Linked DNA regions of Arabidopsis thaliana. The protein of the gene in region 3 interacts with the protein of the main gene of each other region in a pairwise test. Each region holds a gene or a part of one and is shown on either strand. Other genes may lie near its edges.

Region 1 (7,707 bases), on a different chromosome or scaffold from region 3:
GTTCACTGATTACTATTTATGTGCAGTTTATGCCCCCATTTTTGAGTAGGGATGTAGAATTTCTTGATTTAAAAGCTTTAATAATATGGTTTGTGTGTTTGTATATGCAGGTGTCTTTATTTATCTACCAAAAGAATGTCTAATTATCGAGGAGATGATGCTGAGTACATGGAAGACGTAGATGATGAGATGGAAGATGTTGAAGATGATATGGATGAGGAGTTTCGTGGTGATGATCTTGGTGCTTCAGATTCTGACGTTGAAGAATTTGACTATTCGGTTAGTATGATGAGATGGAACATGTTTTGTTGGCTATGCTACTTTCTAATCTCATTTTACAGCTTTTTTTTTTTTTAAACTATGTTTTAATTTCGTGTTATATGGTTTCAGAACAATAAAGTAGCTGATACCACGGCTGAGCAAGCTCGGAAAGGGAAAGATATCCAGGGGATTCCGTGGGACAGACTTAATATTTCTAGAGAGAAATACAGACAAACTAGATTAGAACAGTATAAGAATTATGAAAATGTCCCTAATTCTGGAGAATCATCAGAAAAGGTAAGGGTTATATCCTCTGATCCTCTATTTGTATTAGTGTTCAGGTTAGCTCAGTCACCTAATACATCATTTTGTATGGATTCAGGTTTGCAAGGTCACACAGAAAGGAGGACTATTTTATGACTTCTGGCGGAATTCACGATCTATTAAGTCTACTATACTACATTTCCAGGTTTTTTTTTTTTAATATTGAGAGCTCACTAACTTGGACTAGTTGATAGTCTTTCTCTTTCTGATTGGATTTATTTATTGTGTTTGGCGTGATTGTGGACATAACATTTGTCTACTGCTAAAAACCTCCATCTGATCAAGAATTTTTATTGGTGTCATAGCTGAGAAATTTGGTATGGGCAACTTCTAAGCACGACGTGTATCTTATGTCAAATTTTCTGGTTACACATTATTCTTCTCTAACGTCTGGAAAGCATGAAGTTCTCAATGTCCGTGGTCATGTTGCGCCATCTGAGGTTGGTTTTTGTCAGAATGTAGAAGTTCTACATTACTGTAACTCTATGTGGTGCTGAACTGCTTTTGCTGCATTTAGAAACATCCTGGAAGTTTACTTGAAGGATTTACGCAGACTCAAGTAAGTACACTTGCAGTAAAAGATGACTTTCTGGTTGCTGGCGGGTTTCAAGGAGAACTTATTTGCAAGGTAACTCTAGATTTATCTATCACGGATTAATCACATTATCGACTTGCAATTCTGTTCTATGAGATTCATCTGTTTCCACTTTGGTTCAGCATCTTGATAGACCGGGTGTCAGCTTTTGCTCTCGTATGACTTATGATGATAATGCTATAACCAATGCTATTGAGATCTACAACAAACCCAGGTTTGTGCTAGTCCTTTGCCCGAAAGGTCCACATTAAGTTGTTAGAGTCACTGCTTGTAACTTAGTTTTGGCTTCTGTTTACAGTGGTGCACTTCATTTTACTGCGTCAAATAATGACTGTGGAGTTAGAGACTTTGACATGGAGAGATACCAGCTTGTTAAGCATTTCCGTTTTCCTTGGCCAGTGAATGTAAAGTCCTTATTTGTTTCTTGGTTTGCTTTTGATCTCTTACACTTGCGGAAAATAGCATGAGTTACAGTTAGGCTTTTATAACCCCATTTCTTCTTCAGTGTACCTAATCCAAGTGATAAAGGTACATGTGTTTTGAATCATTTAACAAAAATGGTATTCTCTGTTTTCAATTTGTTGGTACAGCACGCATCTTTGAGTCCTGATGGTAAATTACTGGCTATTGTTGGAGACAACCCGGAGGGCCTTATTGTAGACCCCAACACAGGAAAGGTACATATTTGCGGTCCTGGACATAAGTGTGTGAGATACTCAAATGGTTTGTCACCACGTGTGTGCTTTATAGTTCCACATCTTTGGAATTTCTGCAGACGTTGGAAACACTATCAGGACACTTGGACTTTTCCTTTGCCTCTGCGTGGCATCCGGATGGAGTCACTTTCTCTACAGGAAACCAAGATAAGACTTGTCGTGTATGGGACATCCGTAACCTATCTCAGTCTGTTACTGTCTTGAAGGGTAACCTGGGAGCAATCCGGTCAATCCGCTACACATCAGATGGAAAATACATGGCCATGGCTGAACCGGCTGACTTTGTCCATGTCTATGATGTCTCAAACGGGTATGAAACAGAGCAGGAAATCGACTTCTTTGGGGAAATCTCTGGAATATCTTTCAGCCCTGACACAGAGGCGCTATTTATTGGGGTATGGGACCGCACTTATGGTAGCCTCCTTGAGTTTGGTCGGCGCAGGAACTATTCCTACCTTGACTCGTATCTTTAAGCTAGAAGAGAAGTATACACAACCCTGTCCAATGAAGAAAAGAGAGCTCATTCAGCAACCAGTGAACATGACAGAAGCAAAGCATAGATATATGGATATCTCAAAGATGTAAATGATGTGTTGTGCAAATGCTAGTTAGTTAGTGTCTTTTGTTTCCTTCTCCGGCTGGTGTGTTATTTTCCTTATGTCTGGTTATGTCTGGTCTCAAAAGGTTCAAGATGTGTACAGAAAGGGCTGGTTCAGTGGTGGCACAGACTGGATTAGGACTTGAGGGTGGCTCCGCAGCGGGTTCTGGATTCAAAGTCGGGAGGATCATTGTTGTTGTGTTTGGTGGCTTGTGATCTTTTCTTTTTGTTCCTTGTACTTGTGGTTGTTGTAGGAACTCGAGTGTTTAGATCCTGTTCTGAGTTTAGAATTTGGAGATACTTAACTAAATTAAAATAAATTAATAATAGTCCTTTGTTCGTTATAATTCGATTACAAACCCTAATAACAGATGATTTCTCTAATCACTAAACAACAATGGTGATGTGTCGTATACTACTTTTGGAAATTACGTCCATTATTAACATAACTCAATGTTCATATTTATAACATGAAATATTTATTGTGGTATGAAACAGAGCAGGAAATCGACGTCAATACCGGCCTTAGGTCCTATCAGACTACTTATTGGTTTGTCAAGATCTCATCTCGTGACAGCTTAGCTTCCGTCCATCTGAGAGAACCATTGCATGACCGCAAAACCTTGCTCCACGCCTCCACCGCCGAACTTTGAGCTTAATAAAGATACTACAGACGGGGACTTAATAAAGATACATCACATATCATCAAGTAACATAACGAAAAGAAACATATGCGCCATGTTTTTGAAGAAAGATCTGGATATATGGATATGCCTGTAATTCACTACAAAAATGGCACTTACTAAAAGAAACAACAAGAGAGACACTAGTTCACAGTTAGTAACCTCCTCACTAGCTCTAAAGCCATAATAAAGCTGACAAATCCTCCAACTGATAGAAAACATTACATTTAGAAAGAAAAAGAAAACAAGTTCTATAGAGAAAAGGAAAAATGTTACAACAGACACGTAAGACAACAAAAGGGAGAAAAGCTACTGAGCCACTGTAGAAGCAGTAGCTCCTGATTCATGTGAAGACTTATATTCCAACATCTCAATTCTGTATCTCTCCACATCCTTAACTCCTTTGTCTTGATAAACCTGTAATGATGAACAAATTTGTAAGCAAACACTGGTTTAATGAAAAAAAAAAAAAAGTGGATATAATTCGATGATGATTGGTTACCTGTTTCTCAGATTCAGTGAGATTGCTCCACATGTGTCCTATTTTCTTAGTGATGGATCGTTCTTGTCCATGGTACTCAGGTTTAAGCCTCGCGTACTGCTCAGCAAAAAAGAAGTTGTAGCCACTCCTGTGGCATTTGGGTTTTTGAGTATCGACTACAGCCAACTTTGATTTCTTCCTATGCCGGCGTTGTGATGATTGTACAATGGCTGAAGGTGTTTCCATGGTTTGTTGAGACTGACTTGGCGTTTGAGGAATGTGGTAAAGGACACCTTTCAGCTCTTGAGAACCCAATTTCATCGTCACCAGATAGCCGCTATCAAACTTCCCATCAATGAATCCTTGAACCTCATACCCAACTTGTGGTTCATCAATACCTGCAGGTTCCACAATGAAGCACAAAGACACACGGTCAAAATTTTACTAGACACACACGCGGTAAACTCAAAACATATAAGGAATGGAATCAAAGGAAAGATAAGTGTATATTTATTTGTTCCAGTCTAAAAGGAGTGAAACAGAGCCAATATTTGTAACACGTTAAACTCAGGAATCTTTGTCACGTGAGAAAACTAATGAACCAGATTGGGGAATTAAAGGCCTACCAGACATTACTTCTTTAAAGAGAATCTGTAATAATAAACTTCTATCCAACGGAATACTAAATACAACATACTACATACTGATGAATGGACAAAGATATGGAGGGAAGAATAAAAAAGCCACAAGAGTTAGAGAAACGTGTCTTATACCTTCCTCAGGGTTTGGAGATTCATTGGCAAGGCTCTTCAATGCTTCATCTGGAAAAGCATGAGAATTTTGGCTTATCTCAGTATGTAACAGAGCAACGAAAGAAAAGGTAAGACAACGATAAGAATTTTAGTGCTGAAATAGACCTGTTGATTGGAGTGAAGACACCGGTTTTTCAAGGTAATACACATGTTCCAGCTGAAAAAGAAACTTGAGATAATACTTCCTCAAGACAAACGATGCACTTGTTATCGTTGTCGGAAAACTGAATGCACCAATCACTTCTTTCCATTTCCGATCCTTCACCACCTAGAGTAAAAAAAACATACACACTTCAATACTCAATGGAACAATATTAATCTCCCAAAAGTATGATTAACGGTAACATGAACTCATTCATACCCTTTCGATACCACCTCGAGACGTAACCTCGATGAAAAGCCGATGCAGATCAAGAGTGTTTCCTCCCACAGTAGGAACCCTTTTACAGAGACGGAAAATGTTTCATTACCAGACAGTGATCAATTAATAAACACAAGAGACAAAACAACACACATTAAGCCTAAACTCGTTCATAGATATAATTACAGTATCCAGATTAGTAAATACTAAATCCAGTTTGATTTCATTTCCTTATGAACAATATAAACAGGTAAAGAATACGATAAATCTAATTCAACAGACGATACACATGACATAACGCACTTCCTGCTTAAACTTCACCAATCCGGAATCCACTAAACCCTAATTGACAATTTTCAACATTTCACTGAGCAACAAAATCTAATTCTATTGCTTTCAATCTCACCAAACAATATAACAACACCTCAAGCCTTAAATCCCTAACCAATCTTCGGGAGAGATACAAACAAACAAAGTTGGGTTTTTTCTTCCACAATCTTAAACCAAACGAAAAGGTCTCACAAAAATGTGAAAAGGGTAAGAAAGAAACTGACTTCAAAGTCTTGCTGGTTAATCCGAGGAAAGCTCGGAGCTTTTCCCAGAAGAGAGCAGAGTTACGGACAAGATCATCATATTTGGCAGGAACAGAGGAATCGTCGCATCTCTTGTTGTCAGAAGGATAACCATTAACGGGCTCCACGTGAGTTTGAGAGTAGGGTGGTGAAATATCGGTCGACATCTTTTTTTTCTTATGGCCGTCTTGGTAAAGGTAAGAGCAATTGAGACCACCGTATTTCAGATTTTTATTTTTCTTATAAGATTATAAATTGGGACAAATTGGATAAGGATTAAACGAAATTCACACAAATTTGAATGATTTTATCTTCTGAGATTTTGCCCTAAATCATACAAACTTTTATCTGGGGACTTTAATTTTATGTCCTTTATATTATTTTTAGTCAAGACACCAATTTTAGTTCCTTCCGTTTTCGGCTTAAATTACTTTGATTAGGTTTAAGACGAAACCTGAGAGTCCAAGCCCATAGCATAAGCCTCTGCCCCGATTAAACTACTCCCTACAACAATGGCCTATTGTTTTAAAAACCAGACCGGACCGGTTGATTAACCGAATCTAGATTGAATCAAAAACCAAGATTTAAGTTAAGGTTTTATTACACTCTTGAGTCAAATCACAAAAACCGTCGGCAAACCATTATAACCGGTGATCGGATTCGATATCAAAAATCTAGTTCACAAAATAATAATGTCTCTTTAGTTGTTGATGGGAAATTTAAACATCGTAATTTAACTATAACAATGGGGACAATATCCTTGAGAGACCTTATTTATTACAATCTGGAGAAACAAAAAAAATGTTCGGTAACACAACAAGGAGAAGGAATTTTTCAAGTTGGTATTACTAATCGTGAAGCAGGAGAGAATTGTAGGACGAGAAACCGAAGTATAGAGACGAGCAAGATCAATTGTGTCAAGATATAGAAACCGAGCTTACATGTTTTTCCTAAGATGTTTCCACGGTTTGATACAGGATCTTCTTTCAGAGAATGTAACTTCTTAGTTTCTTGGAGTACTTGTAGTGAACTCAGAGATCTTGTGAGCATCAAATGTTCGATTTCAGTTTCAATCTTTCTCTGGAAGATGCATTCAAGTTCAGATTCAATCTTTGAGTTTTCGAGTTCTTGGATCCTAGCTTCCTTTGCCTCGAGAGCAGCTCTCGCTTCCTCGAGTTTGTGTTCCAGAAGTTTTACCTTCTCCTTCAAGATCAGTGCCTTTGATCCTGAGGATGTTGAGTTATCTTCTTTACAATTTTGATGACTTGGCTGGTCTGAACTCAATTCATCGGTGTTCGAATGTAGTAGTACAGATTCCTTACCTAGCTCCTGGAAACTTTGAACCTCTGCACACGTTTCAATCGCATAGTTAGTTTAGAAATATCATGTAACATTGATAATATAAACATGGGAGCTTTAGGACATGAACATTGAAACAATTCACATGGATATCAAAAATCAAGGTTCGTGTGCAAACCTTTCCAAAGAACTTCCTGCAGAACTGCAAAGCTTCTGATAGAATCTGCAAGTGCGTCTTTATCTGCCCAATGATTGTTGTTTTTCTTACTCTCTCCATCGTCTTCTTTATTCCCGTTTTCGCTTCTGCTATATGTTTGAACTTCCTCCTTAACTTGACCTTCATTGCTAAATCCCCCAATATAATTCATCGTCAATCTCTCATCTTTCTCTCCATGGTTACCAACAGAAACCGAGCCAGTCGAAAACACAAAATCACTACTTCTCAAGTCGGAATCCAAGCTGGAACAAGGCTTCTCCTTCTCGATATCCCCCCGCTCTTCGCTAGCCCTCTTGATGGTATCACTCCAGAGTTTCTCTTGGCTACCTGAAACAACCTTCCCTCCTACTACATTCTTTCCACCTATGGTATTACCACTATGCTCTTCACTTTTCTCAAACGCTTGCCCAACAGCAAACATACAACCTATATCGGGACTAAACCCGTTGGCTACCCCTGGATGATGCACCATATTCACTGACCCAACAGAGCCTTCACTACTCTGCCTTGCTTCAACTGAAGAAAATTCTACATGTTTAGAAGGAGGATTCACCAAACCAGCCAATCCACGTTTCAGTAACTTACTACCATCATCAACAGGAGCAGCCTCATCTCTCACAGGACCATCTCTTTTGATCCGTCTCCATTTCTTCAAACCAAAACCTTTCCTCGTAGAATGTACTGATCCACCAGGAGATTCAACGCTGTTCGATCGTTGAGGTGATCCAACACCTCCTTCCTCATGATCATTATCAGGCAATACTAATAATCCATTTGCAGGGACTGAA
Region 2 (9,087 bases), on a different chromosome or scaffold from region 3:
GAATAGCAGAAAGCACATGTAGTACCACAAATAAATGTATCGTAACTAGTAGTATAATATTTGTATTAATCACCCAAATCTTAAACTATATTCTACGCTTCAATTTCAGTTGCAAACTAGTATGATCAATAATTTGAACACCTTGCGCATAAAAAAACACGAGAAAAGCTAATAGAAAAAATGAATAAGACCCAATCCTCACAATTCAATGGAGCGGACAACAACTGTATTGGCACAAAATTAGTTGTCTGAAATCAATCCCATTTCTATATCAATAAATTAAATACTAAAAAATTAGCAACTAGTGGTAATAGTACACACAATAATCAAAACTAATAATAATAAATTAAAGGGTCTTTAAATTAAAATAATTTAAGAAAACAGCTAAGCCATTTTTGGTGTCTTAAGTCCCGATCTGAACGGCGCTCGGAGGCTTTTGTCCCGTCCGTAAGTGGCTAATAGGAAACATGTGATGTGGTTAGTCACATGTTCCACGTCAGCCTCAATGTTACACGTGGAATTACCGTTGACTAACACGTGGTCTAATCATTTTCAAACAAGTTTCTTCTGTTTGTCGTGTTTTTTTTTTTTTGTTGCTCTCGCGCCAAAAATTATGGACGGTGGTGAAGGAGATTAAGGATATTGTTATTTTTTTTTAGTTTTGGACGAAAAGACGAGAATGTGGAGATATTAATTGGATGGGGACACCAATCCTTAAATACCGGATTTGTTTAATTCTCGATTAAAGCAGGACCATACTTTTCAGCTTTCTTCCTAATTATTTACTTAGTACATTATTATATTATATTCATATACATAATACATGTGTGTGCAAAGTTGGGTTTGACATTATGACTACTTTAAGATTATTAGAGAAATTTACCATCTCACGAAAGTTTTACCTCCTTGGACTAACCCATCATGGATTACGTCGTGGTGGCATATGATTAAGTAAAAAAAAAACTTGCAAATTGGTTGTCGATTTATTGTAGTCAATAGTTGGGGGCATATATATTGTTGTTATGAATGACTCGGTGCCATATAGATTCATTTTGTTAATTCAATAATATTATATTGTTAGAATTTATAATAATTTCCGAGTGGAAATGTCATCCGTGAATCTCTTAAGAGTAACATACAAACTATATTTTAGTTTTCCAACAGAATAAATAACTTATTAAGATGGTTAGATGGATGATAAGATGACATGTTTAAGAGGTTCTATTAGTGTGTGGCTATACCATAATTTTCGGTATTTCAGTAGTTTCATAATAACACTTGGATTAGTATTACTTTAAAGTCGATTTTAGTATTATTTGATACTACTTTTTTGGGTTCCATTATTAAAAAGGGTTAAAATAAAATTCGATAATCTATCCCGTGTAGGGCCCTGGTCAGAGTTCTTTACATTTATATTTCTGACAAGGAACTTTTCAGTGTCTTAATCATATGTTCCAATAATAAATCACTCAGGAAGATAGATCTAAAGTAAATCTCCAATGTACTGTTTTCTGGTTTTATAAAAAAGGAAAAAGTGTACATTCTCTTATTATGATCCTAAGTCTGATAGTCCGGCCATAATCTAGAGAAGAATTGAGTTGATTTTTGTTTGTGTCACTTATTCGATGTAGATATATTGAGTATTACTACTAATTTTTTTTGAGAAAAAACTCATTGAAAAATACAAAAAGTAATTTGCCAAGTACAAACCCATTTGAATTCTTTCATACAGTAAAAATAATTGAAACAATGAACAAATTTTTCATTTATCAAGAACTTTCTATGTTAAGTTCCGATATGTTTAAGGAGCATAATCTCTTAAATTGTGATATGACAAGTGATGGGGGAAGGAACAGCAACAAAAATAAGTAGTGACTCTTAAAGTTTTTGCATGGATGGATTTGTGAAAAGATAATTCAAAGTGGGTAACACAACTCCGGGATTCCTTACCATCACCGTAATTTCATATTTAGTAACATACTTTTCGTTTTTAATTACTTCAACTAGGATCTTTAATATGAAAAATTGCTAAATGGTGGACCAAGAAAACAAATGTATATCTCTTCTCATTGTAGATAAGTTTAGTTGATTTACAGCCACTTTTGACTTTCAAGTGCGTAAATTCATGAAGGATATGATCGAACCACAGTATGCCATAGAGAACAAAACTTCATACATCTATCTGTTTCTGTTTCGAGCAGTTAGTAATGGGCTAATCGATGAAGCAGCACAATTTAACCGGAATAGAATAGCAGAACAAATCCATTCTGTAAAAGGTATTCTTCATAGCACTATTTTAACAGTTTGGAACAAGGATCAAAATCAAACATCATACAACGAAGCAACGAGACAAGTAGAAAGTTTGCACACAGCTTCAACTTTTAGCTTGGACTAGTCTGAAATAATTGCCGAATTTCATTCGGCATGTTCGGCATAATCTCTGCGTATGCTGCAATGAACAAAAGAATAAATAAACCGTAGAAACATAACTTAAACAGATCGTTATTTAAACTAGGAATACCTTCAGGTAGTGATTGGATCCGGAAAGCATCCTCGGCAAATGGTAAACGCACAGGGATTGCTGGACTTCCAGGGCTTGTACACTGTTTCTTCGACAGATGATGCATTGGCCATACTAGAATTCTCACTTTTGTCGGAAGTTCACACAGAAGATCTCCATATCTAAGGCTCACCACGAACTTGCTATAATCCAAAACATATCTGGTTTTTTAAAAGGTTATAAAAACAAAATTTTAAGTGGCAACATGGCCACATCAATATCTAGTGTAGCAGCAGTTAAGAGGAAGTATATGGATCTATGAAATTGCTAACCAGTCACAATCATCCATAGAAAATTCAATCATGTGGTAAGGAAGACTGTGATAAATCTCACTGATCTGATGTCCAAAGAGCTCTTTGATAAGCCGGACCTATAATGAAATTCAGGAGAAGCATCCTGGTTAACTTGTGAAATTTAAGAGGTTCCTAACACTTTAGACTTTTGGTGCATATTTCACCGACAGTGGTGAATAACAACACACCCGGTATAGTCACACCAGATTATTTGGCCCCGTTTTTCATTATAAAATAAATACATCTAAAAATCATTTCATATCCTAATCTGACAAGGTTGATGATACATTAGTGCTGAGATTCTCTTACTCCAAGTTAACTGGTCACATGATTTTAGTACCATTTTCATTGCTATCTAGAGAGCATATTGATGTATTTTTACTGAGAAACAAATTGAACAAGAAGCCAGCAGGTTAAAAACTTAAGAAGTCATGACCGAAAACAACAATTTAAAAGGCCAATATGACAAGCACAATCTAAGTTTGAACATCTACTCATGATCTAGATTTTTGACAAACCTGTTCCTTTCTGTCCACATATGCTTGCAGGAGATCCCCAACATTATCGATGAATTTCTGGCATCGAAAAATGTTAAAACCAAAAACATATAAGAGACAAGGAAGTAAGAGGATAAACTGAAGATCAGGTACCTTAGCATTCGAAAAAAGAAGATCATTTTCCAAGTCACTTAGCGGCAAAAAGAAAGGAATTGTGTGCTCAAGCACAATCATCTTCTCCAAAAACGACTTGCTCTCAAGCACACAGTGGTAAACCTCGTAAGTTTCTCCTATATAAAACGGATTTAATTATCATATACAGGGAGATGAAAAGGTTAGGAAAAGTCCCAATGTCTTCATATACATAGAAATATGGAGACAAAACAGCTAACTCTCTTTCACTGACACGCCAAAAGGTAAGAAACCTTTGAAGAAAAAATCATTATGATAACTGCTAATAATTTTTGGTAAAGAAAAAACACTTGGAAATTGTGACAAAATGCCAGTTATAGTTCAAAATACCTGCAGTAGATGTTTCAAACTGTATTCCAATTCTCGATCCATCTAGGCAACATATCACCTGTTTGATAAAACACCAAATATATAAGCAAAAACGACCTGGTATCGATTCAAAGTGAGAGGTCATTCTAAACTTAAGATTAGCCAGGTGTCAGTCAAAACTTTAAAATCAGGAAAGTTTGTAGCAACTACAAAATTTGGGGGAAGACACAACATTACAACAATCAACATTCTTCAACAAAGATATACAAGTATACAACCAAGATTGGTCTGATTGGATCTATCTTTTAGGCAAACATTGCATCCGGCCAAGATGAATGAACAAAACGATAGGTTTCCTTTGGACTATCCAGAAATTTCTACAGCCATATAGTATATCTTTTGTGACAGAAGTAGTCTTCCTTGCGGGTATCTTGAAAGAATCATGGTAAATTCTGTGCTATATAGACTTAGATAAGGCTTACACCAACAGACCTTGGGTACAAACAAAATCAATTTCTCTACAGAAGAAATTTGGAAGAATGTAAGACCTCAGGAGTACCTTATTTCCCACTCTGTAAGTAATTCGTTCTTCAGGATGACAAACTAGTGAAAAACCTGCATTACCGTTATCTGCCTTTCTGTCAGCTTCCATATGCACCTACACAGTTCATGGTCAAGTTCAGGAAAAATTCAATAAAGCCAACAGAAGAAAAGAAAAAGATGGCATAAAAGATTTCATAGCACAAAGAACATATAACTCTTTTTATCAGAACGACATAATCAAATCTAGATCTGCCCTTATTAAAGTGTCTACTAAGTCTTCTTCAACTAGATACCAAGGCTTGGAACACCTCTTTTAAGTACACAACAATGTTGACAATAAAAGGAAGCACACAATGATGGATGCCATACCCGTTCCCTTAATGTGGCCAACAAACCATCATTCCACTCTTCCCCATCTAAGAAGACTTCTGCAGAGGATAGGAGCAAATACAGCATTTGATTAAAATAGATACACGGATGAGCAAATACTTATGAAGCAAAAAAAAAGTCAGTTAGATAATTCGTCCAATTCTGCAATTCAGCTATCCATACCCACCCTGACTTTGGGATCTCCGTGCAGCTTCAAATTCTTTGTTTAAGCGATCTAACATTGTCTTATCAGAATCCCTAAAATGAATGATCACCAAATACAAACTTAGCAAACATAAAGATCGAGAAGTGAACTATATAGTTCAAAAGCATATTTCCTACCTAGTAAGACGGTCTGACAATTCTCGATGCCTCTTGAGAAGGTTTGACACTAGGAAAGGAGCATAAAGATTGACTAATTATTACCAGAAAGCTTTAAACCAAAAAAAGAAAGAAAAGGATCTGAAGCACAAGAAAAGCTGTTTACTCACATCTTGCTCGTGTTGTATCCAGTCGGATATCTTGGTCCATTGAAACAATCTATTTGCAACGAAAGCAAATGTTGTGGAATCTGCCTTTTTCAAGGTAACAATTGGAAAAAGAAAATAAAAAACCTGGAAAGGGTGTGTAATTTACCATTTCTCCCATATTTTGCTTATCAAGAGGTCTTTTGACCAAGCTCCTACCAAAAAGCAGAGAAGTTGATAATCAATCTCTACACCAAAATTTTCAATGTTCATACATCACATCTAAATCAGCTAGTATTTCCAAGTAATTCTATAATTCAAACAAATTGCAACACTGAAAAAACGAGTGAGAAGCAAAACCCTAAAGCGACCAAATCAACAAGAGTTATACTCAGCGAAATCACGATTTCTGCTCAGTATTAACACACTGGAACGATACAAAACAGAAACAAGCCTGATTTAGAAACCCTATCATGCCTATCAGCAGAGCTTGTTTTCAGAGGATTACAGCTAAAATTTCGTGCAGCAGCCTCAAACATATAACAAAGAAAATTAACTCTATCAGAAGAAGAAAAGAATGATTACTCAACGACACCGGAGAGTAGAGAAGATAACAGATCAGACAGGCGACGAGAGACGGTTTAAGCAGCGCCGGATAGTGTACGGACGTCGGAATGCTTGATTTCGTTCGGAAAGATCATAAAATCTCAACCGCGAAAGGAGAAAAGAGTAATCAGGAAAATAAGAATCAATTTATTTGGTTTGGATTTCGAGCGAATGAAATAGTTTGGTTATGCCGTTTAAGTGATAAACCAGAGCGAATTTAGATTTGATTTTAATTGAGGAGACATCAGAAAATAACTGGGTCTACTAAAAGCCCATTAAGAAAAATCTTATCCAATAGCAAAAGTCCATGTGCGTCTTCCTTTCATATGGCGACCGCCGTCCTCTCCGCAGCGTTTCGATTCCCGATAGTTACCCGCCGACTCTCTGCTCCGGCGCCGCGAATTAGGTTTTATCATTCTACGATCCGATTTGCTCATTTCCGAAGATTCACAACGGCTTCTCCTTCAATGAGCCAGCAGACTGGCGAAATCGATGCCGTCGTCGATGCTTCGTCGGCGGAGAAACCCGACGACGTCGTGGTGCAATACGTTGTGCTTCGACGAGATCTAATCGATTCGTGGCCACTTGGGAGCGTTGTAACACAAGGATGTCATGCGTCAGTGGCAGCGATCTGGTCGTTCAAAGACGATCCGGTCACGCTTCAGTACTGTGATCCGCAGCACATTGATTCTATGCATAAGGTTAGTCAACATGACCCTAATTTTAGAGTTCTCTGGCCGGAATCAATGGTGGATTAATTAAAACACTTTATTTTTTGGGGATTAGGTGACTCTGGAAGTTAAAGGGGAAACGCAGATGATGAATTTGTCAGAGAAGCTGAAATTAGGAGGAATCTCTCATAAGCTATGGATGGAGCAGCCGGAGAATATTCCGACGTGTATTGCTACAAAGCCTTATCCTAAATCCCAAGTCTCTTCTTTCTTCAAAAAGCTCAAGCTTTGCAAGTGATCATTCTTGTTCTCCAAAATCCCAATTTCTTAAAATTCTCATTTTCATAATCATGATTCATACATATACAGAGAAATCATAAAAGAGAAGACATGTTCTTTTCTTTTTCTTACAAACGTTTAGAAACACGATACACAAAGCAAGTCAGAGATTTGGATATATGTACATATAGAAATGATCTCGTATGAGGTGGGAGTTTTGTTTTCAGCCATGGACGATGAGTCGTTTGCCGCAAGTGGAACAGAGATGACGACGTTTGGATTTATTAGAGAGAGGAACGAAGCAGAATCTCCACTGGCTATTTACGTCAACCACTTGAACCGCTCCTCCGCAGTACGGACACGCTCCAGGAGCTGCGTACCTTCCGATCACCCTCTCGTCCTGATCACACACGAACACCAAACACATCCTTCTTCTTCTTCTCTTCTAGACAATGAAAACAAATGGAACCGTTCTTAGTTTTTTGTTTCCGCGTTAAAAAGGGTTGTAGTTTTGATGATATTTATAAGGATGAGATTGAGACTCCATGGAATTTAGGATATTTCATATTTTGTTTCCGCGTCAAAAAAGTTGCAGTGTCGAAAATTAGTTCTGGAGAGATATAGCTTAATCTAGAAGCAATTTTGGATTAGGGGAACGAAAAGTCAAAACTCACGTCAACGTTGAATATAAGTATATTGGGCTTTAATGTTCAAAGCTCAAGGCCCAAATTTGTTAAATCTCCACACTGTGTAACATTTGTTCGACCCGCCAAGGTGAAGAATAACTTGACTGATTGTTGTTGCTGTGATTTCAGATTCTCTCCAACGTTATCTATTTCGATTAGCTCAAGCCTCAAGGTGAAGCTTGAAGCCCATCAATGGCGGATGGGTAGCTTCTGGTCTCCTTGAAGATGAATCGGATTTCAGCTATTTCTACTCTTGTCACTCCTCTCCCTCTTCTTCCGTCGTGCTCCTTTGTTCCGACACGACGGTGTTATCCTCGCAGAGCTACTCCTTATTCCAGGCGAATCAATCTCAAGCCTCTCACTTCTCGCATTGTTCTCCTCACGCGCCGTCGTCAGCTTGGTCAGATCGTGGAGGAGGTAGAAGCCGCTAAGAAACGGTATGGGAGGCTCAACACAATTGTGATGAACTCAGTTCTCGAAGCTTGCGTTCACTGTGGAAATATTGATTTGGCTCTTCGGATGTTCCATGAGATGGCGGAACCTGGTGGAATTGGAGTCGACTCTATTAGTTACGCTACTATCTTGAAGGTGATTTTGGTTCTTTCCTCTAATTTTGAATTTTGGTTCTTTCCTCTAATTTTGAATTTTGATTTCGTGTGTCAACCTGAATTTGATGTCGAATCGTTTGTATTGGTTAAGGGATTGGGTAAGGCTCGGAGGATTGATGAAGCGTTCCAAATGCTGGAGACTATAGAGTATGGAACTGCTGCTGGGACTCCCAAATTGTCATCATCTCTTATCTATGGTCTGCTTGACGCTCTTATCAATGCTGGTAAGATTCTTAAGCTGTAACTGTTTCTCGTGCTCAACAGGCTGCAGCTAATCTTGATTATGTAATCTTGGTGTTAGTGAAATGGCCTGAAGCTGATGCAAAAACACTTGATATTGATCTAGTGCAGGAGATTTACGTCGTGCCAATGGTCTGCTTGCACGATATGATATTTTGCTTCTAGATCATGGTACTCCGTCAGTTCTTATCTATAACTTGCTGATGAAGGTAATTCTTTACACATAGTTGCATTTGATTTAGGGTCAGAGAAGCATCATCATGGTATATGTCTTGTTATATATTTCAGGGCTATGTCAACTCAGAATCTCCGCAAGCTGCAATAAATTTGCTGGATGAAATGTTACGCCTTAGATTGGAGCCAGATAGGTTGACCTACAATACTTTGATCCATGCCTGCATTAAGTGTGGCGACTTGGATGCGGCTATGAAGTTTTTCAATGATATGAAGGTCACACATGTATATTTTAAAGGCCAGTTTTATACTCCAAGTGTTACTCAGAGTAGTACTGGGGTAGAGCTTGGCTCATATTAATTATAATGTCTTGGTTTTGAATATAATTCAGGAGAAAGCAGAGGAATATTACGACGATTTTCTTCAGCCAGATGTTGTAACCTACACCACTTTGGTGAAGGTGAGCCAGCAATATCTCATTACATATCTGATCATTATGTAGGAAGATGGCCTAGTACTCTTTTTAGTTTCTGCTTTAAACGTTATCAATTTCTGCCTCTTATGATAATTCTACTTCTTAGGGGTTTGGGGAT
Region 3 (8,603 bases):
GCTAAGCAGAGAAATGAGCTTAAAGACGGCTGTAGAGGAGAAGGAGACAGAGAGCAAGATGATGGAAGAGGTAAGATATGAATTAGCCGATTTGCCAAAATAAGTTGATAGAACATATATATCTGATATTTAACAACCATGGTTAAGTACTGCTTCCATGAACTTGCCTTGACCAGTGATTCTAAACAATTTCAGATTTTAAAAGTTATTTTTCTTATTATGTTCAGCCACATGATGAGCTAAACAGCGAAATGAGCTTAAGTACAGCGGTAGAGGAGAAGGAGACAGGGAGCAAGATGACGGAAGAGGTAAAATGAAATTAGCTGGTTCGCCAAAATGAGTTTATTGAACATATCTATATTAAAGAAACCATGATCAAGTATCGCTTCCATGAATTTGGTTTGACAAGTGGTTTTAGACAATTGTAGATTTTTAAAGTTTATTTGTTCTTATTGTGTTCAGTCACATGAAGAGCTAAGCAACGAAATGAGCTTAGAAGAGAAGGAGACGGGGAGAAAGATGACGGAAGAGGAAGAATTGGAAGCAGTAATGGAGATGCTTTGTAGAACAGAAAACAAGTTACTGGACGTGACGCAGAGGCTTGATAGATTTAAAACACCAAAAGGCCGAAAAAAGTTAGGCAATTCTTCTTCTCCTTTACTTGAAGAAGACTCAGTAGTGTATGTTCCAATAGCAGAGATCAAGGAGAAAAGGTAACAATATATATATATATATCAAGAAAAGAAAAAAGTCCTTTGCAGAAGTTTTGGTATTGTTAGATTCTTTTGGAACGTAGTCTAAGAGAGTACCTAATGTAGTTTTGTGTATTATTCAGTTTGTATGTGTCATTTAAACTTCAGATAAAATCCCCCAGAAAAAAATAAAACTGGGATTTTTTTTTTAATGGAACTTTTTAGCTCTCTTTTTTGAATTATGTACATTTCGTTTTTTATTCTCTTTTTTTTTTTAATTCCCTTTTTCCAAATAACTTTGGCTTTTAATTTTAGTTTAAAAAATAATAAAGCTGAAAGATTTAGGTTCTTACAGATAGAGTAAGATTGGCAACTATATTTTTAGTTTCAACCAAGTAATAATCATAGAAAGATGATGGTTATAGAGAAAGCTTTTAGACCGAGTGTATATAGCGGTAAGAATAAATTGTTTACAAATCTGCAATTATCTGAACATAACTCCTTAACAAAGCCTACTGTCACTTTTATGAGTTTACTAAACATTTGTTGCCTAACTTTACAGATCAAATTGAAACAAATGGCAAGTCTCTCTATTTTGCAACTTACAATATGCATTTGATTCATGTTCATCAATTCAAAGACAAAGTATCCACAAAATCTTTTATAAAGTCATATTTGCTTTTTTAGTTTAACCATATTTCTTTATGTTTTTTTCTTCTTATACTCGGTTATGATTGCAATTAATTCAAATGATTTTTTTAGAAGTATAATTTTTAAGATTATAAGAAGGAACATGCATATTTTTGTTTTATTTTATTAGAAAACATCGGATGTTTTGTAGCTCAAACAAATAAACCCTCACAATAGTAGCTCTTCACATATATTGCATAAAACGGATTTAAGTAAAAAACCAGAAGTAAATTAGAAGTTGATAAGACAATTTGGATCATTATAAGCTGCGATGGCCATCTGTATCTTGGCCTCTACTGCACTGCTTTCTTCTTCATCCGCCTGCAAATTCAACGATTTACTATAATTAATACATCTATCACAATATAAACTAAAACAGTCCTATATTATTTCAATCATACGATATCTTTACAGAATTTTGAAGTAAATTAGGATTCTAGGAAGTCCAACGTCAGTATAGATTATTAAAATTAGGGGTGTTTAGGTTTTACACGAATCAGACAAAAAAAACTTCTTTTTTTTTGGCAGCACGTAAAAAGAAAATTAGAACTGATAAATTTGTGTATATACACCTGCACGCATTACTACTATAATTATTTCCCGTGGAAAATGAGATTGGTGGATAAATCATTGTTTAATGTTTTTGTATAATCTTTAAAAGGACGGATAAGGACAGGTTTGAAATGAAATGATCGACTTTTTATTTGATAAATGATTGGAGTATGATTTCACCAACTCTCAATGACTCCACTGGTCTATACCTCACTGTAATTTTAGCGTCTGATTATATTATCTTTTATCAAGAAAATGTTATAAAGGTGCATAATTCTTTTTTGTCAAAGAAAACCAACATAATATTATATTCATTTGTGAGGCAAGAAATACTCGTATTTGTTGTCATCAAAAATTTCCAACCTACAGCTTATAATATAATTACCTTTTTCAAAAAAAATAGAACGTTAGTTCACGAAACTAGCATTTTTGTAATTAGATTGTTTACACCAAAGTCCTAGTATATGATGATGATAAACAAATCAAATAGATAGAGATAATGAAATGAATTTGTATTTTTTAGAGTAAAAACACAAAATAATAACTCTTAACAAATCTGCTTATATTAAAAAGGACCAAACCTTAATTTCTACCATGAACTGCTATGGATATCATTTGGAGTAACTAATTTTTACCAAAATGATTAGCATAATGAAGACCTTATGAACCATATACAACTAGTTAACACAAATAACTTGCTAATTGGCTACAGTTGATTTGTAGCCTATTGTTAATTTGAGTTAAGAATTGATATAAGGTGTAGTGCTAGAAAAGTCACGTGCTAAAAGTGTGAAAGAGACAAACGTTGAACCGCGTGAGGTTATAAATTAGCCACGTTTTTCTAGTGCTACTATGCTTGGACGGCACTTTCTGGGACACGAGGCACTTGAGATTTCACACACTAATTTTTTGATTAAGTTAATCCTAATTTTTTATGGAATATGACATTTAACTTTTGAGAGAATCTAACCCTATCAGAAAAAGTCAAGGCGAAATTCGAAAAAAATGTGATGGGCTCGAGGCAACCTCAATAATTGGAGCTTTAATTGATTGATTAAGATATTACTGACTATATATACTTAAGGTGTAATGTGAATTAAGGTCCACTTAATGGAGACAGGTGGGAGAAAAGTAGTAATTAAATGGGTCCGTCTAAAGGTTATCCTTTTGAATTTGATAGTGATTTTCCAAACAATTCGTAAGTTTGAATTACATTTTTGTACTATTACGTAAAGATAACATATTTTCTTTACCAAAACAAAAGAACAATCCACTTTACTAAAGCACTTAGTCATATGCTTTTTATTCATATTATTAATTCTTGTCCACTAAAGGATTTGTCTACGTGCCGTCAGACGACCATTTTTCTCCCAAAATAACCAAAAAGAAAAGAAAATAGTAAGATTTGAATTTGGTATATAAAAGTCTGAATAGTTGCGACAAATTAAAAATGGACAAATATATTTGGTTGGTGTGTTTTATAGTCCGACAAGTGCATAAAACTAATTTTATAGCTGATTACAATTGATCTAACATTCTTTATTAGCAAGAATCTTCTAAACTATATTATCATCTCTTTCCATTAACATTTTATAATTTCGCTCCATGAGTGCAAAATGAGCGTCAAACCAAAACAAGACACGTACAGTATTCTCTAGATGCATTTAGAATTTTGTAGTTTGTACTAGTAATCACATTGCCAAATAAAGATATGAGAGAGGGAGAGAGGGAGAGAGTGACCTGGAGGAAGAGGGTGGTGGAGAGACGAGAGGTGAAGGAAGAGAAGTTAGTAGTGAGAATGTTGAGATTCAAAGACTCCAACACTTTACAAAGCTGCACCATTGTCTCTCTTTTCTTGCTACATGTTATGCATACCACTACCGTCTTCTCTCCCATCCATGTCACTTTCATCTGTTTTTTCATGTTTATATAAAAACAATTTGGAATAATTAACTTTACCTCAAAAGAAAGGTAATTTAGAATGTACTGCCAAATAATGCATAGTACGTACTTCGAGAACTTCAATGGGGTAGTGTTGTACTCTAGTACTGTAATCCATCTGCTTAAACTTTTTTGATCTCATGTCATTATTGTCTGAGAAATCTTGCAGATGAGTTTCCGCAAAATTGCAATCGTAATCTCTTACCGGATTTTCTAGCAATGTTGACCGTGATTCTAGCTCTCTGATCTCTGCTTCTAGAGTCTTCTCTTGATCAATAAGTTCTTGCATATAGTCGATAGAATCTTTGATGACAGATGCCTTGTCCAACTAAAAATAGATAAATATTAATACTTCAATAAAATCCAGTCTTAATCAACAAATCATCACACGTATACAATTATATGCTATCAGGGTAATTAGGGGACCAAAATACATTTTAGTATGGCTTGATATGGATTTAGAGTATCAAAAATTTGGTTTGCTTATTTGTTTAATGTTGGTTGGATTTGGTTTAACCAGATTGTATTTGTATAGTTTTATTTCTTTACAAAAGAAAGAAGAGAAAGTTTATTCGCTTATTTAATTTCTGTTGACCAAAACAAAAATTGCTGGTGACGAAACTTTATTACTAAATTATTTGGATAACAAATTAAATTTAAAAGAGACAGTTGATTAAACAAATAAGAGAAGTAATGGAATAATTAATCATACCTTGCTTATATTGGGAACAACTGACCGGAGAGCAAAAAGTCTCTGATTAAGCTTTTGCCGTCTGTTTCTCTCGGAGACAACGTTCTTCGAAGAAGCCGGCGACGTTGCCGCTCCGTCTGGCGAACTCGACTCGCCGGAACCCGAAAACGCTTCCTCCATCGGCCAACTTAAATTTTATAATTTATAACAATTTTCATTAATTACCAACTAAAGCAAGATTAATCTTTATCGGAAAAAAAAACTAAAGAAACAAAAAAAAAAAAAATGGACCAAGATTCTAGTAAGCACCTGTCAAATTCGAGTTCTTGATTCTGGAAGAACATTGTGGTTTCCCAGTAATTCTTGTACTCATGGTCGAGATCTTCCATTTTTCGGACACACAAAGATGATGCTTTCTTGAAATGGAAGGTTTTGTTATTTCTGTTTGTCCTTTCTTTCTTTCTTTGTGTCTTTCTATTGAGTGTACTATCAAAACAAGAGTGGGCCGAGGATTTTATACATAAAGAGTCTGACAGAGAGTTTTTAAGCACGTGGGATCTTAATCTCCTGAAATAATTATATACGATCTTGACCGTTCAATTCAGAGATCAAAATCTGTTTCCTTTTGTCCAATTGAAAAACAAAGAAAAGAGTGTATCGTATCTATCTCTTTCACTCACAATATGCATTATTCATATACTCAAATGGGTATAGACCGTATAGTACTTGAATTTAGGGCGTGTTCAATTCCAATTTCATTTTATTTTTGTGAGGTACTAGAAGAGTATCTGAGTATAAATGCAAAATTCTGTTCTTGTAGATATTAATCATTTGTTTTTCTTCTAATTTCGATCCTTAAAGTTAGAAGATGATGTCTAAGTAAGGAAAGAAGATACGTACTAGGTTTTTTTTAAACAAAAATAAAAGATACGTAGTTTCAGAATTCAAAGATTTAAACATAGGTAGACATCGTGGCTATGTGTATGCGTACGTAATGATTATGGCCAATAATGGTGATGATTAGTTGATTGTCAACTTTTTTTGCTAAATTTTATTGAAAATATAACCCACTTGGGTCCAGGATATTCTTTCATGTCCCTTGATTTGAATGCAGTAAATCTATGTTTTCTTCTATTATTTGTGGATATATATTTTCTTCTGATTTTTGAGTGTCTATATATTTATAAAATTCCATCTTCTTTAGATACTGTTATGAAATAAGTTGAGATATATGATTTTAACAAAGTAAGCTATAACCACGGACTTATCTAGCAATATTAAACACAAAATGTGACTGAAAAGCGAAATAATGTGGGGGTGATCCAAAATCTAAAGTATATAAAAATCAAATATCATAGACAGAAAATATTCATAGAATTAGATAATATAGCATATGCAATTTTATTCTACTGAATTGTAACTAAAGAAATATTGATTATTTAATGGTGTCAACTGAATTAAAAGTTGTGAAACGATTCGTAAAACTCTATTTATGATGGTGGAAATATTTTTTTCAATGGTTATGTATCATACATTTGAGTTCTCAGTTCTTTCAAGAATTTGTAAAACGTGGAAAGACATCAAGAAAACTGAAGACGGTCACTAAATCATACAACATACACATACTAAACAATACAACTAGTTCCACATTAATCCATTATACTCAAACTAAATCTAGTATCTATCTTATGAACTAAAAAAAAATCTAGTGTCTATCAATATGGAAAGGTTTTTACTTATATCGGCTTTGCTCCATACCCCGTGATTTTATTCAGAACTTTTAATCTGGATTAGAAATCCGAAAATACTGAGTTTGAGAAACAAATCGAAAAAAGTAAAAACTGTTTTCTCAAATCATTCGTCTCTCACTTACTAAACTCTTGAGAAAATGTGTAGGAAAAAGTTGTATTTTAATTGTATGAAATGAACAGTGTTTCGTTCCTTATGATATTGTTTTCACATTACTAAAGTCGTGGCTTGGATGGCCCAACATGATCTTGGTGATCAAAGATGATTATAATAAAATTATTTGCTAAATAAAATTATTTAACGTACTTATGTATGCTACCACGTGTATGGAGGATAGTGTATGATATGACTTGATATGGTTTTGGTTAAGAATTCATTAAAAGTCTTAATATTTAATTTATTTTGTATGCATAATCGTATTTCCTTTTGTTTATTAGGCTAATTAAAAGCTGTTCTATCTATAATCTTTGGAAGATTCATAAATTTTGATGACTCACCCACCTTGCAATTGCAAATGTATGGAATTGATTATATTGGGTCCAAATGACAACTAAACATTCCCAATATTGTCGGAGTCTAATTCTTTCGTTTCTTATTAAATATGAGGAAGTGTTTCTAGAAGAGTAAGAAGAAAATCGCAGTTCAATTTTGAAATCTACTTTTGTAGTAGAAAGCTGTATAAACAACATCCGTTCACGTTAGCTAGAATACGAAAAAATGTAACGAGTATTGAAACTCCGGTTCAATCTTACGTTACGATATCGGTTAACCAACTTCGACGACTTAAACCCATTCATCAAACAAAATGAACAAAATATGCCGATATGAGAGAAAGTAATTCGACTAAAATTCATTATTTATTTCAAAACATGCAAGAAACTTATTGGGCTGAAAAAACACATGTTGGGCTGAAGGCACGGATTGAACAGAGATATATTTTGAGTTCGGCCCAGACAAAGATGCTTAATGGTTTAGCCCGTTTGAATGTTCCAAAATTTAGTCTTGACTCTTCTTAAGTGTGTGAAGAAAAATGGTGTAAATTGTAATTTCAGTCATTTATGTAAAGTTTTGAAAATTTTCCATGTGGCCTTTTAAGTTTACAAATACAAAATAAATTTATTTAAAACTGGAAGCACGTTTAGATGAATATATAAATCAACAATAAACGAAAACGCAACATATACAAAAAAAAATAAAATAAAAAACAGCAAAGTAATTTACAACGTCCAAACAAAAATTACCAAAGAAAGTTTCCATAATTAATTACATAGAAGCTTTTTATTTTTGTTTCTTGTTCTATCTATCATAATATAACATGTAAATAATGAAGAAACTCCATCATAATATAGCGTCGTATCCTAACAAGAATTGAATAGCTACTGAAGAAATTCCATCATAACATAATATGTAAGTATTTTCTATGGCCAATCAAGTCTAGTCATAGGCTATAATTTTGGAGTAAAGTAACTATGATATTTTCTTTTTTTTTTGTCAAAGAACTATGATATTTATTTTCTTTCTAGTCGACAGTTAGGAATATAAAGAATCACTTGCGACGTATTGAGTTATTTATTTGTCTTGTGATGGAAGTAAAGAAACATTCGTTCAACAGTACCCAACAAAAGACAAATATAAAAGTGAATGACAATAAAATTTGTTAAAAAGAAAGAGCTTAATTATTCCTCTTTGACCGATCCTCTCCAATGATTTGTTCCGTTTTTCGTTTCCCTTTTTAATTTTCCTTTTTATATATAATTTTTTTATCAAACTATAGGCAGTTTGGTAACAACTAAATAAAATCATATTTTGGGCATTAATTTTTGTGCCAATCTTTGTTAAAAAGAAATTCGACTAGCAACTAATATTTACGTTTAAAAATATGTTAACCTCTTAGAGGTTTTAAAATATATATACATATTTGTTAACCTCATAGAAATTGGATTATTGTTTTCACTGTAAGCTTATCCTTCTGCAAAAAATCATTTATCACTAAGTATGAGACATAGATATACGGAGATACACATTACACAGCAAAGGTGACACTAATAAATAGATAATAAAGTTAATATTCCCAATATAAACAAAACTAAAGATACGTATATGATCTTTAGTTTTGGATACGACGCTAGATGATCAAAAGAATTTTATATGAAACCAAAGTTTCATCTTTTAAGTTATAAAAATAGTGAAAACTATCCATAAAAGATGTAAAAGGTGAAAAATGCTTTTTTGACTGCAATAGTTGAACATTGTACTACTACTACTTATCGTAATATCGTATAGCCACT
Region 4 (6,560 bases), 1.3 Mb from region 3:
GTAATAATAAACAAATGTGACGTAAGTACTTTGTAATTACTAATTACTAATTAAGCCAGCTTTTCCTGACCTTTTGGACATATCAAACGATACAACAGGGTCAACTCTCACATCACATCCTTTTTATCAATAGTTTTCTGTACTTCTTTTAAAATATTGATGATCTAGTTGGTCTTTTATTCAGAAGTACAGAACTATATTATACATTTATTGTACTATACGTTATTTTGAAAAGACATATTTTAGTTTTAGTTTTCTTAGATTAGGTGTGAATTAATTTACCTACTCTTTATTATGTAGTTTTGGAATTTTTTAGTTAAGACTACTAATCATTGGTAAGATTCTAAGATTAATCAATATCGGCTCCAAAAATTAAACTAGTTGACTAAAAATTTTATGTACGTAAAATGTCAATACACATAGCAATTCGACATTAATTTTAAAATTAGTTTTATTCTTATAGACTACCCCGCTACTAAATTAGAAAGGCACATGATGTGTCATCTTGTAGGATTCCAATCTATGGATTCATAATTTAATAATTTAGTCAAACGTTATTAAATTCGTTTTTCATATTCTTCTATCAAAGTTAGGCCGTAATAATAATAAAAAGAAAAAGAGAAAAGAGAGAAGTTAGGCCGTACGAATGGGATCTAATATATATATAGAGAACGGATGCCGTACATGTTGCTGGCATCGTCATCTCCTAAACCCAAATGCATGGCAACATTTTGTTATTTTTATTTTGTTTTGAGATATATTTTAGGTTTTCCTAAAGTCGTGGTGACATCGTCCATTAGCTATTACCTATCCGAGAGGCATAATTTACGAACTAGACTGTTGCTTTAGCTATAAGGATAAACTTAAGGGAAAGCGAAACTAAATTACATGCATATATTTTCATGAAATCGTGAAGATTTTTCTTTTGGATAAGCCAATGGATTTTTGATGAATTTCTTCCCAAAGAAACATTGAAGATCATGCAATCACGATCTCGCCAATATGAATATCTACCCAATATATTAAAACATTGAATATCAACTTGATCGATGTATTGACTTTGCAACATTCAAAGCAATTTGTAATATTTCTTAGCTTCTCGTTCTCAAAGCCACACATTTCCATAAACTAAGATATCCATGTACACAATGACGTACTTTAATTTGTGCATTATCTATGTATTCATTCATATGAAAAGTTTGCTGATATGGTTATCGGGATAAAAGATAAGACTAGTTACATAATTCAATTTATTTAGCTCATATTAGACATTTAATTCATCATTAATAGCTGAAACAATATTGCAAATACCTTTTATTAGAGAGCCCTTGAGGACTTGATGAGGTATTTTCTCTTAAAATAAGAAAATCATTTATATTCATCTGGACATTTGAGTTTCTTACTTGATGGATCTAGAACAAGTTGTCACTACAGGTTTTGAGTATTTTTTTCACATGCGAAACTCACAACCATGTCATGACCAAAAGATACAAGAAAAAAAAAAAAGTGTTTCATTAGTTTATGATCTGAATATTGTTCCCATTGTGAGGATCTACAGCACTTGCCGCCTCAGTCACAGGCACTTTCTTTGCAAGAGACATGGGGATGTCAAGATCATCTTGAGCACATCTTTGTTGAGGATGAGTTAACAGCATTGACATTGGCTTGAAAACAGACCGTGCAAGCCCTTGACCGCTCTCAAATATGTAACCTTCATACTCTGAAACATGTTCTACTGCATCGACAAGAGAGTCATACACATCTTGTGGACAATTATCAGGACTTGGCTTGTCGTGCAGGTACATAACATCCAACGTGAAGAGCTTCTGGTTTAAGGGCCACTCATGGGTTGGTCTCATAGATGACCTACAGTATATGAGAATCTGCAGGGCGACATGAACAAAATCAGTAAAACATCGTTTATTTTTCAGGCTGTGGCTAGAGGAGATTGTAGTTTCACAAAATAAACCTTACCACCCTGAAAATTCGGTTCTGTGCTCTGGAAACTTTGGCTTCCTGAGCTGCTGCTCGGAAGAGAAGTGTGAGATCCGCTCGACTAGAGGATTTATTACCTGACAATCCTCTAAGGGAAGCAACAGCAGATTCAGCATCACTTGTGAACTCCTTTTTAAGCTGAAACATAAAAAGGCCTCAAGTTCAATTTTCAAATGAAACAATCAGCACAGATAATAGTGTAGAGAGGATCTAAACAAAAGTTTCATGAACCAAATTTGACATTATTTCCCACACAACATTCACCAGTGAAGCTTATGTTAAAGCATCAAATGTGATTCTCACAACACATCTAGAAGCTACAAACAGTAACAAGAACACCATTCTCAGGTGAAAAAACCATCAAGTTTCAATCAGGTAAAGAATGTTCAACAAATCATGCATCCATGAAAAACCAGGTTTAAGATTGAGGATTAGGTTCAGAATATGTTCAAAGCAAATTCAAATCTCCAAGATGCATACTGTATAGCTTATCATGAATTTCAAAATTTTCAACTAAAAATGCAAAATTGAGGAGCATAGTCAAAAATCAAAAGAAAGCCCCCAAATTGAATCACATAAAGAGAATCGGAGAGAAAAGTAATAGTATACCCAAGCGGCTGATTTGGCGAGCGTAGCGAAAGCAAAGCGATGATCAGGATTAATGGACAGCTTATTGTGAATGAAGAGAATAATGGCTTGCTTGACGCACTCCATCCTGATCAAAGGCCTACCATTAGTTCCAGTGGTCTTCATCTCCACCATCGATTCTGCATCTACATCGATACAGATGAGTATGTCCTCGCTTTTTATACGCCCCGGTTTAAGCGCGTATCGAGTCGTTCCTACTCCGGTCACGGCCACTCTCTCTTCCTCCATTCGCCGCCGATGTAGTGAATTCTCTCTTCTACTTTCTACAATTCTACTGGTTCGTCCGATATAAATAAAACGATGCGTTTTGGTGAAACTAAAACACGACGTCGTCGTTTAATGTTTTCTTTTTTTTTCTTTGTACAGAGAAAAAGTTTCAGCGTTTTGATTCTTTTGACTTTTTTGACGAATGGGAATGAGCAAAAATCGTTTCATTGAGTAGTTCCACTAGGACACAAGAGAGATTCTTTTACTTCTGTTATTGAGGCTATGCAGTTTCTTGGTGCTTTCTTTTGATTGAATCGATCAGTATTAGCAATTGCGGTAACTTCGAACTTTGTTAAATCATCAAAAAAGTGGTGCCTATAAGAACCACTATTGGTTTTTGACTTGACATTAAGAAAATCAACTGTCTTTAGACTTGAGCGAGTGATAACGCTATACAAAAAAATGACTTCTCTCTGGTTGTCAACTACGTTACTCAATCGTCCAACTAGTTTCAGGATACCAGTTGAGTTTGCAATCCACTTGATGATCTTCAGTTGAGGATTTTGTTGATTCCCGATATCTTCTCCCCTGTTTGTTCCAAACATCACATTATCAGAGAGACCTATAACCAAAAAGAAAAATAGACTCTTAAGTGTTCATCAGCATTCATATCACATACCTAACACATCGATTTCCAGGAGTGAAGCTTCTAGCATATCTTCCTTTTCCTCGATCTCAGATCGGAACTGTCGTACAATGCTTAAAGTGTCTGCAATGCTCTGTTCCTTTCTTTCCAGCTCACAGCGAAACTGTCTTACACTGGCTACAGTGTCTAAAATGCTCTGTTTGACCTTAGCCAGCTGTTGTGTGACAGAGCAAGGTTCAGGGAGGTTCTTAGGCTGCAAGTCTCCGGGCTCAGCACTCGATTTGTGGGACCGGCAAGAGGGTTCTCCTTCTGCAGCTTCCTTCTCCATCTCGCCATCAGCTTTATGAACGCTGGAGCTTTCGACTCGAGCTCGCTTGTATGTCTTAGTCTTAGTTTCTGCAAGATCCTCTTCTTCAGCCACTGGTTGTTGAACCATCTCAAGGATTTTGTGTCCATTCTCATTCATAGAAGAAATAGCTGATTTGACAGATGAATCATGAGGACAAACACTTAGTGACTGCTCCAGGTTCAGTCCCCTCTCAGGTACACAAGTTAGCTCAGGGGTAGAAACTTCTGCTGCTCTCTGTTGTTCCTGCTGATTGGAAAATAAGATTGCAATTAACTATCTACTTCCAACATAAGCGAGGATGACATTCATCTTCTTTTTACAAATGAAAGATTTCAGTGTTTCAATGCTGGTTTCAGGAAGAAAGAAGCATGCCTTTACTGCCGCTTCTCTTGGGCCTTGACGGTCCTGCAGAATACACAAATTTTTAGAACCGTAAGAGAACAAATGAAACTAGACGACTTGCATAACCATTGGTACTCAAAAACCACCTTCATCTGTATGAGACACATGATGCAAGTATATTATCTACAAACAATAAAGGTAGTTTGATACAGTGCACTAGTATATGTGAGAGAGCTTACTTCTTTTTCATTAGCAACAACATCTTCCTGCTTTAAAGCATCAAATGCCCTTCCACATATTGAATCCACTACATCACTGGGATTAGCTAAGGAGACGCTCGACAATTTCCCTGCTTCTGTCAGATACTTTTTAATCTGGCTAGCACAGTTACTGAGAACTTGTTCTGCCTGCCTCCTTGATATTTGGGGAACCTGAGGAAAATAAATGGAAAGAATTTAACAAAAGAGATTGGTTGCTGAAAACAAAATGGTAAGAACCTCTCTATATATGACCTCATCATCCTTTTTAACATTAGGTGGAAATGGTGAAAGCATCTTTGATTGCTTATTAGTTGACTGTTCCTTGCGTGTCTTAGCTTTCTTCTTCTGGGGCCTGCATGAAGAAACAGTAGCTATTCCAGTCTCATCCCAAGACATCGAGTTGATCTCATAAACAAAAATTCACATCGAGCTATTCCAGCACCACAAAAACACCAGAACTGGAGAAGTAATGCTTACATTGTGGAGGCTTCTTCATCACATCCCGTTTGATTAGCTTCTTTATCCTGCTAACAGAAAATGTGGAAGCATGAAACAAAATCCGGGGGATGAAACAAAACAAAAAACCAGAGATGAGAGATATAATTCCCCACCTTTGATGACTTTGATTCATTCAGAAAAATACCACTTTTCCTTTCTCATATTCAAGATTTCTTCATCTCCATCAATATAGCGAACCTGAAAACGACATAGCAGCAGCAGCATAAACAAATATAGCATATTATCAATGACCTGGATCAAATTAAAAATATGTATCACTTAGGAGAATAGACTAATGATTCACCAAAAACCAACGAAAATAGTTATGTAGAAGACTGATATATTTAGCTTTACCCGATGTCTCTCTTTAGCAGAACAATATGAAATGACCACAGCTTCATAATACCTGTGGTAAAAATCCAATACTCATTTACAGGCATGGTCGACAGAAATGCAACCAGCAACCATCCGAGGTGCTAGTCCAGATTCAGCTATTAAAGGAAAATACATAGCACAGAAAGAATAAATAAATTGAAGTAGTATATTAAAGCACAAACTACAAAATGCTTACGCGCGATCCAACGGCCACCAGATTTTAACCCTCGACCCAACTATCTTTTCATCATACTTTTTGAAATCAGATGTCTGTCAAGGAATTGATTCAGCATGAGTATACAAATTTTTCTTTTTATTTTACATTGTTCTTAGCAAATGAAACTAGTATATACAAAAGATAAAACAATGGATGTTCAAGAAAATAATATCTCCAACATGAAGAGAATAAGAAGCTGAAACCATGAATAGTTATTACTACAATTCGCAATTGGTAAGGTTCTTCCCAGAGTCTTTGATATGAGCAACAGTTATTAAACGTGAAAAGAACAAAAACATACTTTCTCTTTGCCTAGGCTGTGTATTCTCTTTGTGTTTGTCTTAGGTTTTTTTTCTAACGGTTGCTTCGCTCCTTTCGTTGAATCTGAGGCTGATTTATCACAGGAAACAGCTGGCTGAAACAAAATCAAAGAATGTCTGCATCAGCAAAAGAAGAGAAAAGTCATATAAGCATTTCTTAACCGCAGTCACCTTCTTTGCAGGAGGCTTGGGGAGATCAACTTGAGCACATCTTTGAGGAGGATGTGATAACAACGTTGACATACGCCTGAAAACAGACTGTGAAAGCCCATGACTGCCCTCAAAGATGTAACCTTCATACTCCGAAACACGCTCTATAGCATCAACAAGAGAGTCATACACATCGTGAGTACAATTATCAGGACCCGACTTGTCGTGCAGGTACATAACATCCAATGTGAAGAGCTTCTGGTTTATAGGCCAATCATGGGTTGGTCTCACGGATGACCTGCAGTACATGAGAATCTGAAGAGCAAAATATAAACGAAATCTGTAAAACAGATTCTTTTATCACGCTGTGGCTAGAAGAGATAGTATTTGCACAAAACAAAACTTACCACTCTCAAAATTCGATTTTGTGCTCTGGAAGTTTTGGCTTCCTGAGCCGCTTCCTGGAACAGAAATGTGAGATCCGCTGGACCAGAGGATCTAGTAGCTGACATTTCTCTTAAAGAAGCAGCAGCAGATTTAGCATCGTTGGAGA

Evidence for each region.
Region 1: the proteins of AT4G29930 (region 3) and AT3G13350 interact in a two-hybrid assay, tested with the Arabidopsis thaliana proteins (one large-scale study listed by BioGRID).
Region 2: the proteins of AT4G29930 (region 3) and AT5G10710 interact in a two-hybrid assay, tested with the Arabidopsis thaliana proteins (one large-scale study listed by BioGRID).
Region 4: the proteins of AT4G29930 (region 3) and AT4G32960 interact in a two-hybrid assay, tested with the Arabidopsis thaliana proteins (one large-scale study listed by BioGRID).

The regions. Positions count from the first base shown.
Region 1 is NC_003074.8:4,332,235-4,339,941, forward strand, and holds AT3G13350 (HMG (high mobility group) box protein with ARID/BRIGHT DNA-binding domain-containing protein), read right to left. Parts: upstream 5,783-7,707; 5' UTR 5,571-5,782; coding exon 5,386-5,570; intron 4,911-5,385; coding exon 4,832-4,910; intron 4,739-4,831; coding exon 4,576-4,738; intron 4,480-4,575; coding exon 4,432-4,479; intron 4,057-4,431; coding exon 3,680-4,056; intron 3,595-3,679; coding exon 3,487-3,594; 3' UTR 3,241-3,486; downstream 1-3,240. Other genes in the region: AT3G13340 (Transducin/WD40 repeat-like superfamily protein), read left to right, coding at 136-279, 391-558, 644-730, 891-1,025, 1,103-1,213, 1,303-1,394, 1,479-1,584, 1,771-1,857 and 1 more; WIP3 (WPP domain interacting protein 3), read right to left, coding at 6,238-6,749, 6,881-7,707. UniProt on the Arabidopsis thaliana protein: Binds preferentially DNA with A/T-rich content.
Region 2 is NC_003076.8:3,375,943-3,385,029, reverse strand, and holds AT5G10710 (centromere protein O), read right to left. Parts: upstream 6,075-9,087; 5' UTR 5,816-6,074; intron 5,446-5,815; 5' UTR 5,412-5,445; coding exon 5,400-5,411; intron 5,304-5,399; coding exon 5,255-5,303; intron 5,155-5,254; coding exon 5,106-5,154; intron 5,022-5,105; coding exon 4,951-5,021; intron 4,823-4,950; coding exon 4,764-4,822; intron 4,705-4,763; coding exon of another isoform or gene 4,688-4,704; intron 4,510-4,687; coding exon 4,411-4,509; intron 3,931-4,410; coding exon 3,873-3,930; intron 3,641-3,872; coding exon 3,504-3,640; intron 3,429-3,503; coding exon 3,372-3,428; intron 2,931-3,371; coding exon 2,833-2,930; coding exon of another isoform or gene 2,817-2,832; exon of another isoform or gene 2,704-2,816; coding exon 2,522-2,703; intron 2,450-2,521; coding exon 2,382-2,449; 3' UTR 2,164-2,381; downstream 1-2,163. Other genes in the region: AT5G10700 (Peptidyl-tRNA hydrolase II (PTH2) family protein), read left to right, coding at 6,163-6,537, 6,623-6,801, 6,929-6,977; AT5G10695 (methionyl-tRNA synthetase), read right to left, coding at 7,010-7,213; AT5G10690 (pentatricopeptide (PPR) repeat-containing protein / CBS domain-containing protein), read left to right, coding at 7,698-8,060, 8,172-8,304, 8,432-8,529, 8,609-8,770, 8,886-8,954, 9,076-9,087.
Region 3 is NC_003075.7:14,640,460-14,649,062, reverse strand, and holds AT4G29930 (basic helix-loop-helix (bHLH) DNA-binding superfamily protein), read right to left. Parts: upstream 5,070-8,603; 5' UTR 4,956-5,069; coding exon 4,876-4,955; intron 4,754-4,875; coding exon 4,588-4,753; intron 4,204-4,587; coding exon 3,946-4,203; coding exon of another isoform or gene 3,895-3,945; exon of another isoform or gene 3,846-3,894; coding exon 3,558-3,845; 3' UTR 1,704-3,557; downstream 1-1,703. Other genes in the region: PRHA (pathogenesis related homeodomain protein A), read left to right, coding at 1-70, 228-308, 463-717.
Region 4 is NC_003075.7:15,907,271-15,913,830, forward strand, and holds AT4G32960 (BRISC/BRCA1-A complex protein), read right to left. Parts: upstream 3,023-6,560; 5' UTR 2,872-3,022; coding exon 2,605-2,871; intron 2,134-2,604; coding exon 1,975-2,133; intron 1,884-1,974; coding exon 1,515-1,883; 3' UTR 1,302-1,514; downstream 1-1,301. Other genes in the region: AT4G32970 (BRISC/BRCA1-A complex protein), read right to left, coding at 3,401-3,438, 3,530-4,088, 4,218-4,250, 4,427-4,618, 4,700-4,799, 4,925-4,971, 5,300-5,351, 5,517-5,590 and 3 more.